Linked DNA regions of Notamacropus eugenii. The main gene of each other region encodes a partner of the protein of the gene in region 2 in a complex. Links are inferred from orthologs where the notes say so. Each region holds a gene or a part of one and is shown on either strand. Other genes may lie near its edges.

Region 1 (7,928 bases), on a different chromosome or scaffold from region 2:
AGGAAAAAATGAATTTTCCACAAAGACACCATGAATATCTACAAGAAATTTTTAAAAAATTAAATCACTGGAGGAAAGAATTGGAAGGAGAATTAATAGATTAAGACAGAAAGTAGCAAACTTACTCCCTGAAAACTAGAATGGACCAAAAGTCAATGTCTCCAAAAGACAACAAGAAATATTAGAACAAAATAAAAACATTGAAAAAATTGAGAAAAATGTAAGCTGATATAAAAAAAATCTGACTTGAAAAAGAAGTCAAAGAGAGAGAATTGTCATGTCGTTGGACTCCCTGAAAACCATTATTTTTTTTCGTAGGCTAGACACAATATTTTAAGAAACTATAAATGAAATAAATAAACGAACAAATAAATGAATGAATAAATGAATGAAAACTGCCCAGATTTATTGAAAGAACAAAGGAAGAAAGAAGAAAATCTACTAATCACCTCCTGGAAAAAAAAAATATCAAAAGGATAAATCCCAGGAGTTTCATAGCCAAAATCCAGAGCCTCTATATCAAAGGAAAAATATTGCCAGCATCCAAAAAGAAACATTTTGAATACTAAAGAACCACAAACAGGATCACACAAGACCTGGTAGCTTTCATAATATATGGAAGATGTTGGAACATGATATTCCAAAAGGAAAAAAAAAATGGGACTTATAACCAAGAATAATTTACCCTGCAAAGCTGAATATAATCCTATGGAGAGGGAAAAGGTGGAAGGATTTTTTTTCTCTCATGTTTCAAGTATCTCTGATGAAAAGATTAGAGCCAAGTAGAAATTTCGAAATATCAGCATGAGTCCAGAAAAACCTAGAAAACTAAATTTAGTTCAGCAAATGGAAGGAGTTGTATAATGATACAGTACTGAAGCTCCAATAGGAGAAGACATTTACCTTCAGAACCTCAATGTCTTCAGAGTATTATATAGCAGGAATTAAATTAGAAAAAGAAGGGCCTGATGGTAGATTGATTCTGTTCTAAAGGTTTTAAGAAGGAAAAGAGTAAAATAAAAGGAAATATACTAGTGTAGAAAGGAGGAAGAAAGGGGTGGAATTTTATATTCCTTATAATTGTTACACATTTAAAGAGCACACAAACATGGAGCGAGAGGGATGGGCATCAGCTACACCTTACTTTTATTTGAAACAAAGGTGGGTTGAACACACAATACAATTTAATGTAGAAATACATTAAACTCAATAGGGAAACAAGGGTGGGGGAGGGTGGTGTATAATTTGAGGTTAAGGGGAAGGATAATAGCTGGGAGAGAACAGTTACAAACAAAACAAATTTCCTGATCCTAAGACAGTATGGGAGGGATGTAACGGGGTGGGGGGGGGGGGGGCGGTTGGGGGGGGGGGGGGAGAAAAGCAAAGAGCTGCTAGAATCAAAGGGTGTGTTCAGCAACTGGGGAATGCCTAAATTCTTATTACTCTGTAAAAAAAAAATTACAGAAAAGCAAGATTTCAGAGAAATCTGGACAGCACAGACTAATGTAGAAACAAGACAATGATTTGTACAAGAACAATAATATTACAAAGGAAAACAATTTTGAAAGGCAGGAACTCTGATCAAAGCAATGACCAACCATATCTCTTAGAGGACCTGTGAGAAAGCATGTTACCCATCTCCTGACAGAGGTAATGGACTAAAGGTGCTGAGGCATACATTTTTGGATGCGGTCACTATGTGAATTCATTTTGCTTGACTATGTTTGTTCATTAAGGAGTTGTTTTTATCTCTGTGTGTATTTTTAATTGGGATTAGGGATGGAACTCTATGGGGGCAATAAAGCTTAATAAAAGTGATTCTTTTAAAAAAGAGAGCCATTGAAACTTTTTCTAAAAATTTGCAGAAAAGAAGGAAGTTTATCAGAAAGCATAGACAAGCCGGTTTTGAAATTAGCATGTGAAATTTATTATGTACTTTTAGAAACAGTATAAAATGGAGATTCATGGTTTCATAAACAAGATCTTTTTTTTTTATTTTGTTACGTGTATGGAAACTCACTTTTTTTGCCATTTAAGTTGAGGAAAATTAAAACAAAAAATTGATTTTCAAAAATCTACATATTTTGCTAGAATATTTTCTAGAGTACATTTTGCCTGCCTTTTTCCATTGCCTCCACAAACAAGTTGGTCACATAGCAGGGATTGTCTGGCCGGATCCCCATGCCCACCACAACAAAAATGGAAATGGAAGAAATTAAAGGGAAAGAAAAGAATTGTCATCATGCTCTAAACCCTACCTTGTATTTTACGTGTGTTCATGTTGTATCTATCTCCTCTAGTGGAATATAGGTTCCATGAGGGTAGACAGTTGTGCCACTTTGAAAAAGAAAGAAAAGCAAGCTTTGCTTCTCCAATGCTATTCCACATAATAGAACCTTAATCAGTCTTTGTTTAAGTGAATTGAAACATTTCCAGAGTTCACTGAGTCTACCCTATCTAGACTTTAATGCAGCTAGGTGAAGAAGTGAGTGAGTGGCCAGAATGCAGCTGAAATGAGTCAGGAAAGTTTGAGTTCAAATTCGGTTTCATGTACTCAATGCATGACCCTGGGCAAGTCCATTAACTTCTACAGGGTCTCTCCTGTTTCTCATTTGTAACATGAGGGAGTTGGGTTTGATAGGGTCTAAGGCTCCTTCCACCTCTAAATCTAGGAGCTTTTGAATGAAGTCAATCTGTTGATTAACTGTTTTTACTATTATCTTACTTCATGCCTTTCAAGCCAGGTTATCCTGGGGGTTGGGGAGGGGGTGAGTAGGGAGAAGGTTTGCTAGGGGAAGAAGGCTCGATGAAGCTGGGTTCCAATCTGCCAGGTCTCTTGTATTCACTTCCTAACCTCAAGAGGAAGGCAGTGGACATAAACCAAACAGCCTGCTTCCAAATGGGAAGGGAGCCATCTCTGACTTTTGTCAGTCAAGGAATAAAAACTCCATAATTGCCATTCCTGTAAATGGGAATAACCCAGCTTCATTCCAAAGTACTTTACATAATGGTGTCTTGGCCCAGCAGCACGTAAGTGCAGGCTAGGAGCCAGGTCTAATTCGGGAGAGGGAAATCTTCCTGAGCCTCAGTTTCCTCCTGGACCGTAGGGGACGCGAGAAGGGAGGCCGATTGCGTGGTCACTTCCAAGGGCCCTTTCAGCTGGAAATACCATGCCAGTAATACACCGGTGAGCGCACAGAACATCCATCTACCGTTGCTACATTGTCACCATCCACAGACACTGATTCGGTTGTGCTCCAGGCACAGCGAATGTGGATACAGGGATATCCTAAATGAAATAATCCCTAGCGGAGAATGTAGCACTCAGAAGCACCAGTTTTGGCCTGGGCTTCCCCCCCATTATGTAAGCAGGCAGATGTGTGATGAGGTTATGCTGGGAACGTGTTTTGAATCCTCCCTGGAAACAGGAGGGAATACACAAGCGTCCGGCCATCCCCTAAACACATGCTTTGTGGGTGAGAAAAGCAACTGTATCCGCACCAGAGTGTGCGTGAGAGTGCAGGGCGAGCCTCGCTGCCCTCCGCCCGAGGAGAAAGGCCATCCCACCGCCCACCCCGGCCCAGGCACCAGTACAAGCCTCGTGGAGGAGCTCCCCTCCTAGAAGGTCCCTCGGGTTCCCAGGGCTGAAAGAGCCATTTCCTCCGCCGAGGAGACAGAAAACCAACCGGCCAGCAGAAACCTCCTGCAGAGGAGGAGGGAGGGCCCAGGCGCCCCCCACCCCCTGCAAGTCTCCGATAAACCCCAGGCCCCGGAGGGACAGTTAAAGCTGAGAAATGCCTCCTCCTTCTCTCCCCGCCCCTGACGCAGGCCTAACAGGAAAGAGGCCGCCTAGGAGTAGAGGGGGATCCCGGCCAGCTTCGGCAGGCGGGGGCTGGGGCTGCCTGGGTCCCTCCCGCGCCTCTCGCGCCGGGCGGGGGTGGGGGGGTTGAGACTGCTCCAGCCGCCCTTTCTCCGGGATGACCCAGGCCTTTTTGACAAGCAAGCTGATCCCGTGGTGGGGATTGGCTAGCCGGACCGTGACGCCCATAACAACAAAGGTGGAGTTGGAAGAAATTAGATTAAAGGGGAGAAAAAAAATTAAAGGGGGATCTCGCTGGGGCGAAAAGGAGACAGACCGAGAGGGAGAGAGAGGAGAGAAGGCCGATCCAGCTCCCCATCTGCACCTCTCCCCAGCCCTTTCCCCGGAGCCCCGCCTCGCTCCTAGCTCTCCCTTCGCTCTCGAGCTCGGGTTTGGGGGTTTTTTTCGCCTAGGGGTGGGAGGTAGGGGGAGTCTTCTCTCTGGTTGGTGACAAGCCTCCCTCTTCAGCATCATCGCCCACCCTAGGGGAGAACTTTTGGAGAAAATCACGCGTATTACGAATTCCACGGAGGGGCATAAAAACCAGAAGGCCCTAAAGGAACAGAGCTGGAACCGAAGGGGGGGGTGCTTTTTTGTTTTTCTGGAAATATAAGAAGAGAATTTAGACATATCATACCCCCCCCCTTTCTCCTCCTCCTCTTCTCTTGGCTTCAGTGTTGCAAAAGCAAAGAGCAATAAAAAAAAAAAAACGCGCACACAGACACACACAGAGACACACACAACACCCTAGTCGCGAGAAGGGAGAGTTGAAAAGAAGCAAGAGGGAGAGAAGCCAGGGAGAAAAGAGAAGGGAGGGAGGGGTGGTGTGCGGGGAAAAGAGAAGCAGGTTTCCTAATAAATCCACCTCCGTCTCTCTCCCCCCCCACCCCCCTCCCCTCTTCTCCAGCCCAGGGTAGGGAAGAGAGGAGCCGGAGAGAGCAGATGGAGGAGTGGAGTCCGCTGTAGGGCTGTGGAGCTTGGCTGGAGGATGGAGGAGCCGCCAAGCGCCCGGCTGATTGGAAGAAAAAAGCAGAGCGATGGAGGCGGGGGTAGGAGGACGATTTCTCTGCGGGGACTGGCGGCGGAGTCCACGCCCGGGTCGGGCGCTGCAGAGCTTGGCTAGCTTTCAACCAGCGCTCCCCGGCACCAGCCCCACTCGCCCCCCACCCCCGGCCCTCCCGGCGGCTCCGCAGGTGAGTGCGAGAAGGAAGGGGAAAGCCACAAAGAGGGGAAAAGTGGTGGGGTTTTTTCCTTTTTCCAGCCCCCCAGCGGGAGGGGAGGGGTCGGTGGGGGGAGATTGAGGGAGCTCGGCCGAAGAGGAGGGGGAAAGGAGAGGCCGGGGAAGGCCTGGGAGGCGGCGGCGGTGGGGCTGGGGCACTGACAGGGCGAGCGCTCGGAGCGCTGCTGCGCTGCGCCGGGGCGGGCGGACGGAGCGGGGCGGGCGGAGCGCCGCGCGTGTGGCTCGCCATTAGCCGTCCCTCCGCTTCGCCATCGCGGGCTTTGTCTGGCGACTCGCTCCCCTGGCGTCGGCTGCAGCGGTAGCTGCGGATCGGCTCTACGTCCCGCTCCCTCGCCCAGCCACCGCTCCCCGGATCCCCCGCGGCCCTCGACCCCACACCTAGATACACGGAGCCGGGTAAGGAAGCCCTTGCGTCGCCGTATTTCAGGGTAATGGGGGAACGGAGAGAGGAGCTGCGGGAGGCGGATCTCCATGCGCTCGGGGAAGGCCCGAGCGAGCCATGCCGAGCCGAACTGAGCCTGCTCCTTGGAGGCAGCACTTCAGACCCGATTCCCGCGGCGTTTCCGGGGTGTAGAGAGAAATGGAAAAAAATGGGGGGGAAGGGAGGTTTGCTGTGATTTTTTTTTTTAAACAAGATTTTGGGACAGTGTTTTTCTGAGAAGGCGAGCGAAGCCCGGCGAGAAAGGGGAGAAAGCGGTAGCCGCCGCTCTGCGGCCAGCTCGTTCCCCGGCCCCGCAGCGCCGATTTGGGGGTGAAGGTAGTGGTAGTAACGAGGAGCTAGCAGAGGGAAGAGGGCACGGATTATGCCCCGGGAGGTAGACGGAGAAGCAAAATTTCTGTGCCAGCTCTGCAGAAAATAGATTATGGAGATTCCTTTGCTCCTTCCCAGGGTCAGGGAGTCCCCTCTCCTGGGCCCGGGCCTTGCGCCCTCCAGCTCTGGCCGAGGCTGCTAGTTCTCCTACGGGTCTGGGGAGGTCGCTCTCGCCGCCAGTTCACTCCTTCTCCCCGGCCCCGATCTCCACCGCCATCCGGGCGGCTGCGTGTCTCTTTCCCTCGGCCCCCCCCTAGCCGCCACCAGCCACCGCTGCCGCCGCCATCTCCCCCCCCTTACTTCCCTCCGCCTCGGCCGCCCGGGTCCCCCCCAGCTCCCCGCCCCTCCTCCCAGCTGCCCCCCGTGGAGCCCGCCCGGGCTGGGCTGTGGGAGGGAGAGGAGCCTTCGGGGCGGGCGGGCGCTCGCTCCCCGGGGGTCGGTGTGCGCTCTACGGGGAAGGACGCGCTCGCTGCCCCGCTTCTCCCGCCCCCCCTCCCCGCTCCTCCTCCTCCCTTCTCCCTCCTCCTTCCCGCTCCGGCGGCGGAGGCTGCAGCGGCGACGGGGGGTGTGCTCGCTGAGCCCGGGGCCGGCCGGCGGGCGGGCTGGCTGCCTGCAGGCGGAGGGCGCTGTGCTTTGTGCTTTTCGCCGCGAGGAGCAGCAGCAGCAGCAGCCGTCGCCGCCGCAGCCACAGCCGCCGCCGCCCCAGCAGCAGCAGCAGCAGCAGCCGCCTCAGCAGCCGCCGCCCCAGCCGCGCTCGGAGGAGGAGGAGCTGCCGCGGGAGGGAGCTGCGGCTGTGCCCGGCAGAGCGGGGGAGGAGGGAGCCGCGGGAGCGGGGCGCCCGGACGCCGAGCTGCGCCCGGTAATCGCGGGACCAGGGCTGGGGAGGAAGAGCGAGAGCTTGCGCCGGAAGGCGAGATCGAGCAACGTGGAGGGAGGGGAGCGAGGGCCGAGCTCGGGAGGACGGCACCCCGGGAGCACGGAAGGGGAGAAAGGGCCGGAGAACGTGGGCAGGGGCCGAGGAGCTGGAGCAGGAGGACGGAGCTGGAGGCCGCGCGAGGGGGCCCGAGCCCCCGGGAGAAATCCTGCCCGGGGGGAGCTGGAGGAGGAGGAGGCTGGGGGGGAAGAGAACGCTGGGCAGACGGAGGAGGACGCGCGGGGCAGCCGGGCGCGGGGAGGCCCAGGCCGAGCCTGGCCGCGGGGCGGGGGAGCCCGCGTTCCTCCCGGGGCGGGAGCCGCAGTTCTCCCGGATCGCCGGAGGGGGCGGCGGGGACGGCGAGTCCTGTACGCCCCCGCCTGCCCGCCCGCCCGCCTCCCCGCCTGGCTGCCTCCCTCCCTTTCGGCCTTGGCTCGGCTCCCCGGGGGCCGGGGCGGGGGCGCCGCCCGGGCTGGGCCGCGAGGCCCGGGGGACGAGGAGGTGCTGACTCCGACCGCTGGGGCCGCGGCTGCTGCTGAGCCCGGCTCCGGATCGGGGGGCGGCGGGTTCCCCCGGGGCTGGGGGTAGGGGAGAGCTCCAGCTGCTCGGCCCGGGGCGGGCTGGCCCGGGCTGGCGGCTCGGGGAAGGGGGGGAGGGCGGTAGGAATCCGGATCCGGGTCCCCGGGGGCGGTGCGGCCGCGGCGCTCCGGGGCTGGCGGTGCCTGCGCAGCGTCCGGGTCCCCGCCGGGCTGCGGAGGCGGGGGGAGCAGGGAATGGGGGGGGCGGAGGAGGAGGAGACTGGCGCGCGCGCCCCTGTTCCCGCGGCGGCGCGCGCCCTTTACCCGCCCTTCTCCTCCCCCCTCTCCTCCGGCCACCCCCTCCTCCGCGCGTGGAGAGAGTTTTGTTTTTTTCCTTGGGGTGGAGCTCGCTGCACCCTGGAGCCCTGAGCAACCACACACGTGGGGGCCTGGGAGGACTCCTGCAAGCCTGCCCACCTCCCCTAGACGGAGCCCTGCTGCAGGGGTGGGCATAGAGTAGGGGGTAGTCCAGAGGGTGGGTGGGAAGTGTGGAGACTGCCCCCTTTCTTTCAGGGGGAGAAGCTGAA
Region 2 (7,842 bases):
AAGGGGACTCAGGAGCTAAATCAGGAAGCATCCCTGACAATCAGTCCAGGCTGGGGTGGGGGGGGAATGGAAAATGGGGCCACTGAACCAGATGTTTACGGGTCTCACCTTCCCCCTGGACTGTGCGGGTCACCACCTGCCGGACTGGTCCCTGGAGCAAGATTTGGGTTGGGTCCCCAACAGCCTGGGGTTTGCGGGTGCTGAACAGTTTTACCTTCTGGAAGTCTGAGAGGCCAGTTAAGGCAGTCTTCAAATTTAGGATCAAGGTCTAGAAGGGAACTTTGAAACCATTTACTCTAAGCCACTTAGAGTCTGAAATCCAGCCCAGGCACTTGGATCACACACCAAGCATTCTACATGTGACCAGCTCACTGCAGGCTCATTAGCTCTACAACTGATCCCTCCCAGGCCTCCTGTACCCTTCTCCTTCCCCCTATCAGGGAATAAGTCCCTGGTCAGAGAGGATAAGCCAGTCTCCTTCCTCCTTCCCACAGAAGGATACTCAGCTGGTTGTAGGCTTGCCCAGTAGGGTAGACCAGCTGCCCAACATGGGGTTTAGCCCCTGGGACCCAAGCGAGAGCCCCGCCTGTAGAAGTTTCATCCAGCAGTAGCCCCTTCCAGCGGGTCTCCAGCTCCTCATGCAGCAAACCCCCAAGCAGACCTTCCACTTCCTCAGCCAGCACTGTGCCCCCCAGGAGGGAGAATCGTCGCTGACGGGTGCTCAAGTGGGCCCAGGGGCACCTGGGAGATGAAAGATCCCATTAAAAATAATACCAGATCACCCTTTCCAGGACACTGAACAAATCATAAAGCAACTGTTCTTACAGCAACCTTTCAAAGTAGGTTGTGTAAGGATTATCATCCCCATTTTACAATATGGAAACTAAGGCTTAGAGCTGGGACTCAAACCCAGGGCTACCATTGTACCCACTAAGTTAGCATAGGAGGGTGACCAGAGAAGAAAGTTGGTAGACAGCTGATCCCACCTCTTGACTCTCCTTTCTTCCCAATCCTAGAACCCCACAGTTTTGACTAACAGTACGCCCCCTTCTTCTCCTTGGGTCACTTGCCCCTTGGGCTGGTGTCCACTGAGGTCCTGGAGCAACCGTTCTGCATTCATCACCGTCCTGTCCTTGCGGGATTTCTGGAGAGAAAGCTTCAGTTACTTCTTGCCTCTGGCCAGTTTGCCCATCACTTCCCTGTGTCACTAGGGGTCAACTGCAGCCAGCCAGGGGTCACTTTTACCAGTTGTCCAATCGTCAAATTTACCTTTGCTTTTCCCAGGTTAAAGTCCTCCTGCAGCAGCTTTCCTAGGGGCCCAAAGGCAATGTCCCCATGATCCCACAAGAACTGGTTGAGCTGAGAGGGGGACAAAGAAAAGGACAGTGACCACATGTGGCAAGGGCCAAGATCAGAGCCCAGAGTAACCCTCAAAAGACCCAATGCCCACTTACCTGCTCCATAACATCTACTGTCGCTTTGGCCCCAAATGGACGCCTCAGTCTCCCCTGGAAGAGCAAATCTCGGGGGGTCAGCTCAGGGTTCCAGAGGTCTGAAGGGAAAATTAGGGAGATTAGGGAGAAGGGGCCCAAGGTTCTTGGCAAAGGGAGCTGAGCTGGGAGGGAAGTCTGAGAATACATTGAGGAGGAAGTCCTAAGAAGGTAGATAAAAGTCTAAGAGGCAATCCCAGGAATCTGGTAGGAGCATTCTAATTTCCTTGTCCATGGTAGGAAACATGTATATCTGACAACACTGGGCTTTGAGATGAGAGCCTGTGGTTCAAACAGCTGCTGCTAAATGAAACTTCCGTAGAAGGAGCTTTAGGCTGGGATCCAGGGGCTGTACCCCAATAAAATAGGGTGGGAGGAAGGACTTGGTGGGTTGTCAGAAAGCAGCAAGTAGGGTTGGGGTAGGAACAGAAAAAGAGGACCCCTCACCAGGACCAGGGCGCAGGAAGGGCAGAGGTCCAGGAGTGTCAGACTTCCATCTTCCCCACTTTGTCACATACGATGTCTCATGCTGGGGGGGGTTAACCTGGGGGACAAGGAAAGACTCCAGTAGACCACACTTGTAGTATCAAGGTTAATCTCCATTTTGTGGGAGAGGGTGGTAGGGTGGAAAGATCATCAGTTTTGAAGTCAGAGCACCTGGATTCCAATACCCTCTTTGACACTTACTACCTGAGTGATCTGAGGAAAGTCATCTTTCTTCTCTGGGTCTCAGTTTCCTCATCTGTAAAATGAGGGATTTGGACTCTGTGGCCTCTCAGATCCCTTATACTTCTAGATTAAAGGGTGGAGGACCCATTCAGTTCTTGTAAATTATTAATGCTGAACTAGATCAAATCCTTTACATCTAAACATTTCCTGTCCCTCTAGGGAAGGTGTGAACTAGCGATGGATCTGGAGTCGGAGGACCCGCTTTCAAAACCCAGCTTTGACACTTAGTAGGCCACTTGATGTCTGTGATTCTTTACTTGTAAAATAAAGACAACCTCAGAGGTCCCTCCCAGGTCCAAATCTATGATCTTGATGAGGTTCTAGAGAGCACAGGTAATACTATTCTCCTTTTATTATGGAACTAAGGATGAGAAGTTCCTCAAGTCTCTGGGGTGCCCAGGACATCAGACATCCCTGTGGCCAAGCAGAAGTGACTAGCACCTTGTGTACCAACTACCAACTGTCCAGACAACAGTTCCCCAGAAAGGGCTCTGGGGCTGCTCCTACCGATGGATCCTGGGTCTGGGGGGGCTTCAGCAGCTGCATACAGTCACTCCAAGCAGGGGCCAGATACAAGCCAGGGGAATCATTCAGGCCAGGGGGGCCAGGCAAAAAGAACGTGGGAAAGAGATTGTCAGGGAAATCCATCTGCGTGCAGGGCTCGTGTCCAATTCTCAGGTCTCGGTTCCTATGAAACAAAGATGAGAAAGACATGTTTTCTTTCTCTAATCAGTGGAACACTACACAAAAGCTTTCATGGGGCCACAAGCCTGAGAGAAGGGGCAACAGGGGAGTAAAAAGGGATTCAAAACCAAGTCTGTCCTCAGCAAAACTCTCTGTCACAGGAGTCTGTCTGCAGGGCTCACGTGCTGAAGGTTCTGGTTTCCCCTCTGAGCACAATTTATTCAGTCAGCAGATTTCCATTGGGCACCTAACACAGGCAGGGCATCCACCGTGCTATTCTTTGAGGGAGAAATGATTTAAATCAGTTCTGATCGCTCCCCTCATGAAACTCAAGTCTAGGATAAGACACAAAAGTAACAAAAACGAACAATGTTGAACAGGTACATTAAGAGATGCAAAGCATTACCTATGTGTGATCCAAAGGGGAAAGTCATTATCTTCTTGGGGGATCAACCCCAATCCTGGATCGCCTCCACCATCTGCTTCCTTCTCCCCTTCTGCTACTGAATAAAGCTGGAGGTCTTTACAAAACTGCAGACTGCATCCACTACAGCTTTCTGCTAGTTAAGCTCAGATAGGCCTTAAATGCTACAAGTTTTTGTTGTTGTTATTCAGTCTGACTCTTTGTGATCCCATTTGGGGTTTTCTTGGCAGACATACTGGAGTATTCTGGAGTGGTTCACCATTCCCTTCTCTAGCTCATTTTACAGATGAGAAAACTGAGGCAAGCAGGGTTAAAGGACTTGCCAAAAGTCAAAGCTAGTAATTGTCTGAGGCCAAATTTGAACTCAGAAAGAAGAGTCTTTGTGACTCCAGGTCTGGCACACTATGCCACCTAGCTGCCCCAATGCTACAAGACACTCCTTTAAAATCCTTCCTAACTGATTCTCTATCCCACTCCTGGGCGGCTGTTCCAAACCTTCTCTTCTCAAGCTTCCCAACTGTTTTCCAAACCCTTTCAACTGAGAGGCTGAAAAAACGGAGGCCATTCTCAGAGAGCTCCCCTCCTCCCCATCTCACATCCTTTCAACAAACATCCCCCTCCTTCTCTCCAGTCTGGGATGAAGATGAGGCTCTTCTTGTCAAGGCCAACTCCTCCATAGGTACCCTTATCCCATCTCCCTCTGTCATTTCCAGCTTAGTGGTCCCACTATCAACCTACTCTTTCTAATCTCCAATTGCAGCCTATTTCCTGGCTTCTTCCCTGCTACTAACAAACTCTCCCAAGTCTTCCTTGGTCTTAAAAAAAACCAAAAACTACCATCCCTGCAATCCTCCTACCTCCTCCCCTTCTCAATGAAACCCCTAGATTGTCTGTCCTCAGTGCCTCTGCATCCTCTCCTCTCACTTTTTAATTCTTTATATTCTAGCTCTAGGCCTCATCATTTCACTGAAATAACCCTCCAAAATCATCAGTGATTTCTTAAATGCCAAATCTAACACCTTTTTCTCAGTCTTCATCCTTCTTGACCTCTCTGCAGACTCTGGCACTGTTTACCACCATCTCCTCCTGGAAACTCTTTCCTCTGGGTTTTCACAATACTATTTTCCCTTTCTGGTTCTCTTCCTTCTGTGACCATTGCTTCTGTCTCCTTTGCTGAAAGATCACTCGCAAAATAACCACTGTGTTGTATCCCAAGGATCTCTCTTTGACCCTCTTTTCTCTCTACACACTCTTATTTGGTGATCTCAATTCCCATGGGTTCAATGACCAATGTCTGGAGCATAGTATTCCTAGAATTCCTAAGGGCAGTGAGACGACTCAGTGAATAATGTACCGGACCTGGAGTCGGTATGACCTGAGTTCAAATTTGACCTCAGATACTTACTAGCTGAGTGACCCTTCTGCAAGTCTCTTATCCCATTTGCCTTAATCCACTAGAGAAGAAAATGGCAAACCACTGGAGTATAATTGACAAGAAAACCCCATGGACAGTTTGGTCCACAGGGTAATAAAGAGTTGGATGACTGAACAACAACATAGTCTATTTTGTGGGGTAAAGGGTTGTTTGTGGGGTTGAGTGATCCAGTCTGGGGGAACCATGGAATGATAATATTTGACCCAATCCCTGTGTAGCTGAAGTGGAATGGTGAAAGTCAATGATGGTGAGGAACTGAGAGGTCAGGAAGTGAGACTAAATGACAAAGTTTGAGGAACCTGAAGACAGGAGGTAGAATGAAAGGGATGAATTAGGCTGCAGCATGCCTGAAGTGGGGACATAAAAACCTGACATATCTAGGGAGAATGCGATTAAATAGAACCGGGGTTGTATTCTACCCAGAACAGGTCTGGTTATGAGACCTGAGACAGCCAGCGTGGCAGAAAGAGGCGGGATGGGGAATCAAGTCAGGTCAAGTACGAATAAGTACATGGCACTGAGTTAAGAACTGGGGCTCCCAAGAAAAGTAAAAGTCCCTGCTTTCAAGGACCTCAGAGTGTAATGGGGGAGACACCATGCCAACTGGAGAGGGGGGAGAAAGAGGGAGAGAGGGAGAGAGGGAGGGAGAGGGAGAGAGGGAGAAGGAGGAGAGGGAGAAACTGGAGATAATTAACCAATATTAAGGAAAGCTGGGAAAGGCTTTTGCAGAAGGTCAGGGGAGGAGGCAGAGACGAGGAAGGAGAGAATTTTAAGCGAGGGGGGCAGCCAGGAGAGATGCCCCGAGTCGGGAGATGGCGTGCTGCACTCTAGGAACCACCAGGAGCCCAGCATCACTGGATCGCAGAGTACTCGGAGGGGAATATGATAAAAGGAGTGCAAGGATCCTGGAAAAGGAGGGAAGGGGCAGGTTGTGAAGGAGAACGTTAGGGCCGCCCAGTACAACCTTCTCCTACATCTTTCAGAAAAGTCAAGCCTACAAGGGGAAGGAGACTCACCCGCTGTCCCTGGGCTCATCAGTCGCGGGTCTGGGATTCAAACCCTAGTCCAACCGGTCCTGGGAAGCGGGTCGAGAACACCGTTTCAGTACCAGACTTGGAGGCCGGGGCTGCACCCCAGGCTCAGCCCCTCCCCACTCTCCCAGTCTGTGAAAGGGGGTTTAATGACCCCCCCACCCAGCAGAGAAAGGAGCCGCGATTACTCAGACCTCTTCATCTCCTTCGGTGTAGAACGGCGGTGGTGCCTCCATCCCCCGACAGCCGAGACGGGCCCACTGGTACCCACGAGAGCCGGCTCACCAGCCACCCCGAGGCAGACACGTGGGAAACGAAGAAAAACGCCCACACACAAAAAGAAACTGACGACTCACTCACTGCGCATGTGCGGGACCAAGAGATTTCCCAGGATCCTCCAGAGCCAGAGCCCCAAACCCGATCCCCGGAAGTCCTCCTCCTGGAGAGAGCTGCCTTACTAAATATGGCGGCCCCCTTAGTCTCATTCCCCCAATAGGAGCCGCCATTATCCTCAGTGCAGGGTTGGTCCCGCCCCCTTGTCAGCCGCGTGGATGGTGGCCCGCGGGGGCCATCCCAAGGCCTCAGGAGAAACGCGGAGCTGGACGGTAGGGACTTTCTTAATAACCCGACTGTCCGAGGGGAGAGGGTGCTCTGGCGCTTTGTAGCTGGCCCCGAAACGTTCCCGCACCTTGCGTCCCTGCTCGCCTTGCTGTTACAAAGCACTGGAAAGCCGGTCCAAGAGAGGAGACTTGTCCAAAGTCACGACGCGCGTAAGATCGCGATCGAGCTGGAGTTAGAGGCGACTGTCGTGTGTGGTCACGATTAGATGGGGAGCTCCTTGGGCAGGCACTATTTTTTGCCATTTCCCCAGGGTTTAGCACAGTGCCTGGCACACCGAAGGTGACTGAGCGAACGGTCAATTTACTGATTGATTTAATCCAAGCCCTTGCCGCCACACCCCGCCCCTTTTTAGATCTCTGAGCTATTAGGATCCCCCAGCGCTCAACCGGGTGCTTTGTGCACCGTGAGTGCTTGTAAGTGTCCCTCCATTCATTCATTCACTCGTTCACTCATTCACTCACTCATTCACTCATTCACTCATTCATTCACTCATTCACTCACTCATTCATTCACTCATTCACTCACTCATTCATTCATTCATTCACTCATTCACTCACTCATTCACTCATTCATTCACTCATTCACTCACTCATTCATTCACTCATTCACTCATTCATTCATTCATTCACTCATTCACTCACTCATTCACTCATTCACTCATTCACTCACTCATTCACTCATTCATTCACTCATTCACTCATTCACTCATTCATTCACTCATTCACTCATTCACTCACTCATTCACTCATTCATTCACTCATTCACTCACTCATTCACTCATTCATTCATTCACTCATTCACTCATTCATTCATTCATTCATTCATTCTTCATTCAACCAGATAGAGAAAGTCCGATAGATTGGGAACTCCTTGAAAGTAGGGAAGTTTGGGGGCTTTTCTAGTATCCCCAGTTCAGCGCAATGCCTCGCACTGTAGTAGATGGTGCTTAATAAATGCTACCTAATTAGAAACCAGGTGTCACGATTCCCACCTCTGTTCACACCGATACCTTGGACAAATCACTTCGTGTTTCTGGACATCAGTTTCCTCATTTGTAAAACGGGGTGGGGTTGGACTAGTTCAGGGGTTCTTAACCTGAGGCCGTGTCTATCTCCCACCCCCCAACGCCCCACCCCAGCCCTCGCCAAAGTCCATGAATCAATCCACATTTATTATTAAAAAGGTCCATGGATGGATTTCAAGGGTTTCATGAACTTGTATGGGTAAAGAAAAAAATTACCTTTATTTCAATATAAGTTGTTTCCTTTATATGTATGATGCAATATATAATTATGTTAATTATAATATTTCAATATAAAATGGTTTTCATATTCAATGCAATTTAAAACACAGTTCTGAGAAAGGATCCCTAGGCTTCGCCAGACTGCCCAAGGGGTCTATGGAACAAACAAGATGGAGAACCTAAGT

The links. The genes of interacting proteins can lie anywhere in the genome.
Region 1: TAF1C (region 2) and UBTF share a complex: the UniProt entries of both Homo sapiens proteins name them as parts of the pol I pre-initiation complex. The link is inferred for Notamacropus eugenii from reciprocal best matches to the Homo sapiens genes TAF1C and UBTF.

Annotation. Positions count from the first base shown.
Region 1 is NC_092873.1:349,812,782-349,820,709, forward strand, and holds the start of UBTF (nucleolar transcription factor 1), read left to right. Parts: upstream 1-4,922; 5' UTR 4,923-5,052; intron 5,053-5,366; exon of another isoform or gene 5,367-5,495; intron 5,496-6,652; exon of another isoform or gene 6,653-6,769; intron 6,770-7,928. UniProt on the Homo sapiens protein: Recognizes the ribosomal RNA gene promoter and activates transcription mediated by RNA polymerase I (Pol I) through cooperative interactions with the transcription factor SL1/TIF-IB complex.
Region 2 is NC_092872.1:697,982,803-697,990,644, forward strand, and holds the start of TAF1C (TATA box-binding protein-associated factor RNA polymerase I subunit C), read right to left. Parts: upstream 3,015-7,842; 5' UTR 2,934-3,014; coding exon 2,727-2,933; intron 2,035-2,726; coding exon 1,938-2,034; intron 1,553-1,937; coding exon 1,455-1,552; intron 1,360-1,454; coding exon 1,270-1,359; intron 1,145-1,269; coding exon 1,071-1,144; intron 742-1,070; coding exon 503-741; intron 226-502; coding exon 109-225; intron 1-108. UniProt on the Homo sapiens protein: Component of the transcription factor SL1/TIF-IB complex, which is involved in the assembly of the PIC (pre-initiation complex) during RNA polymerase I-dependent transcription.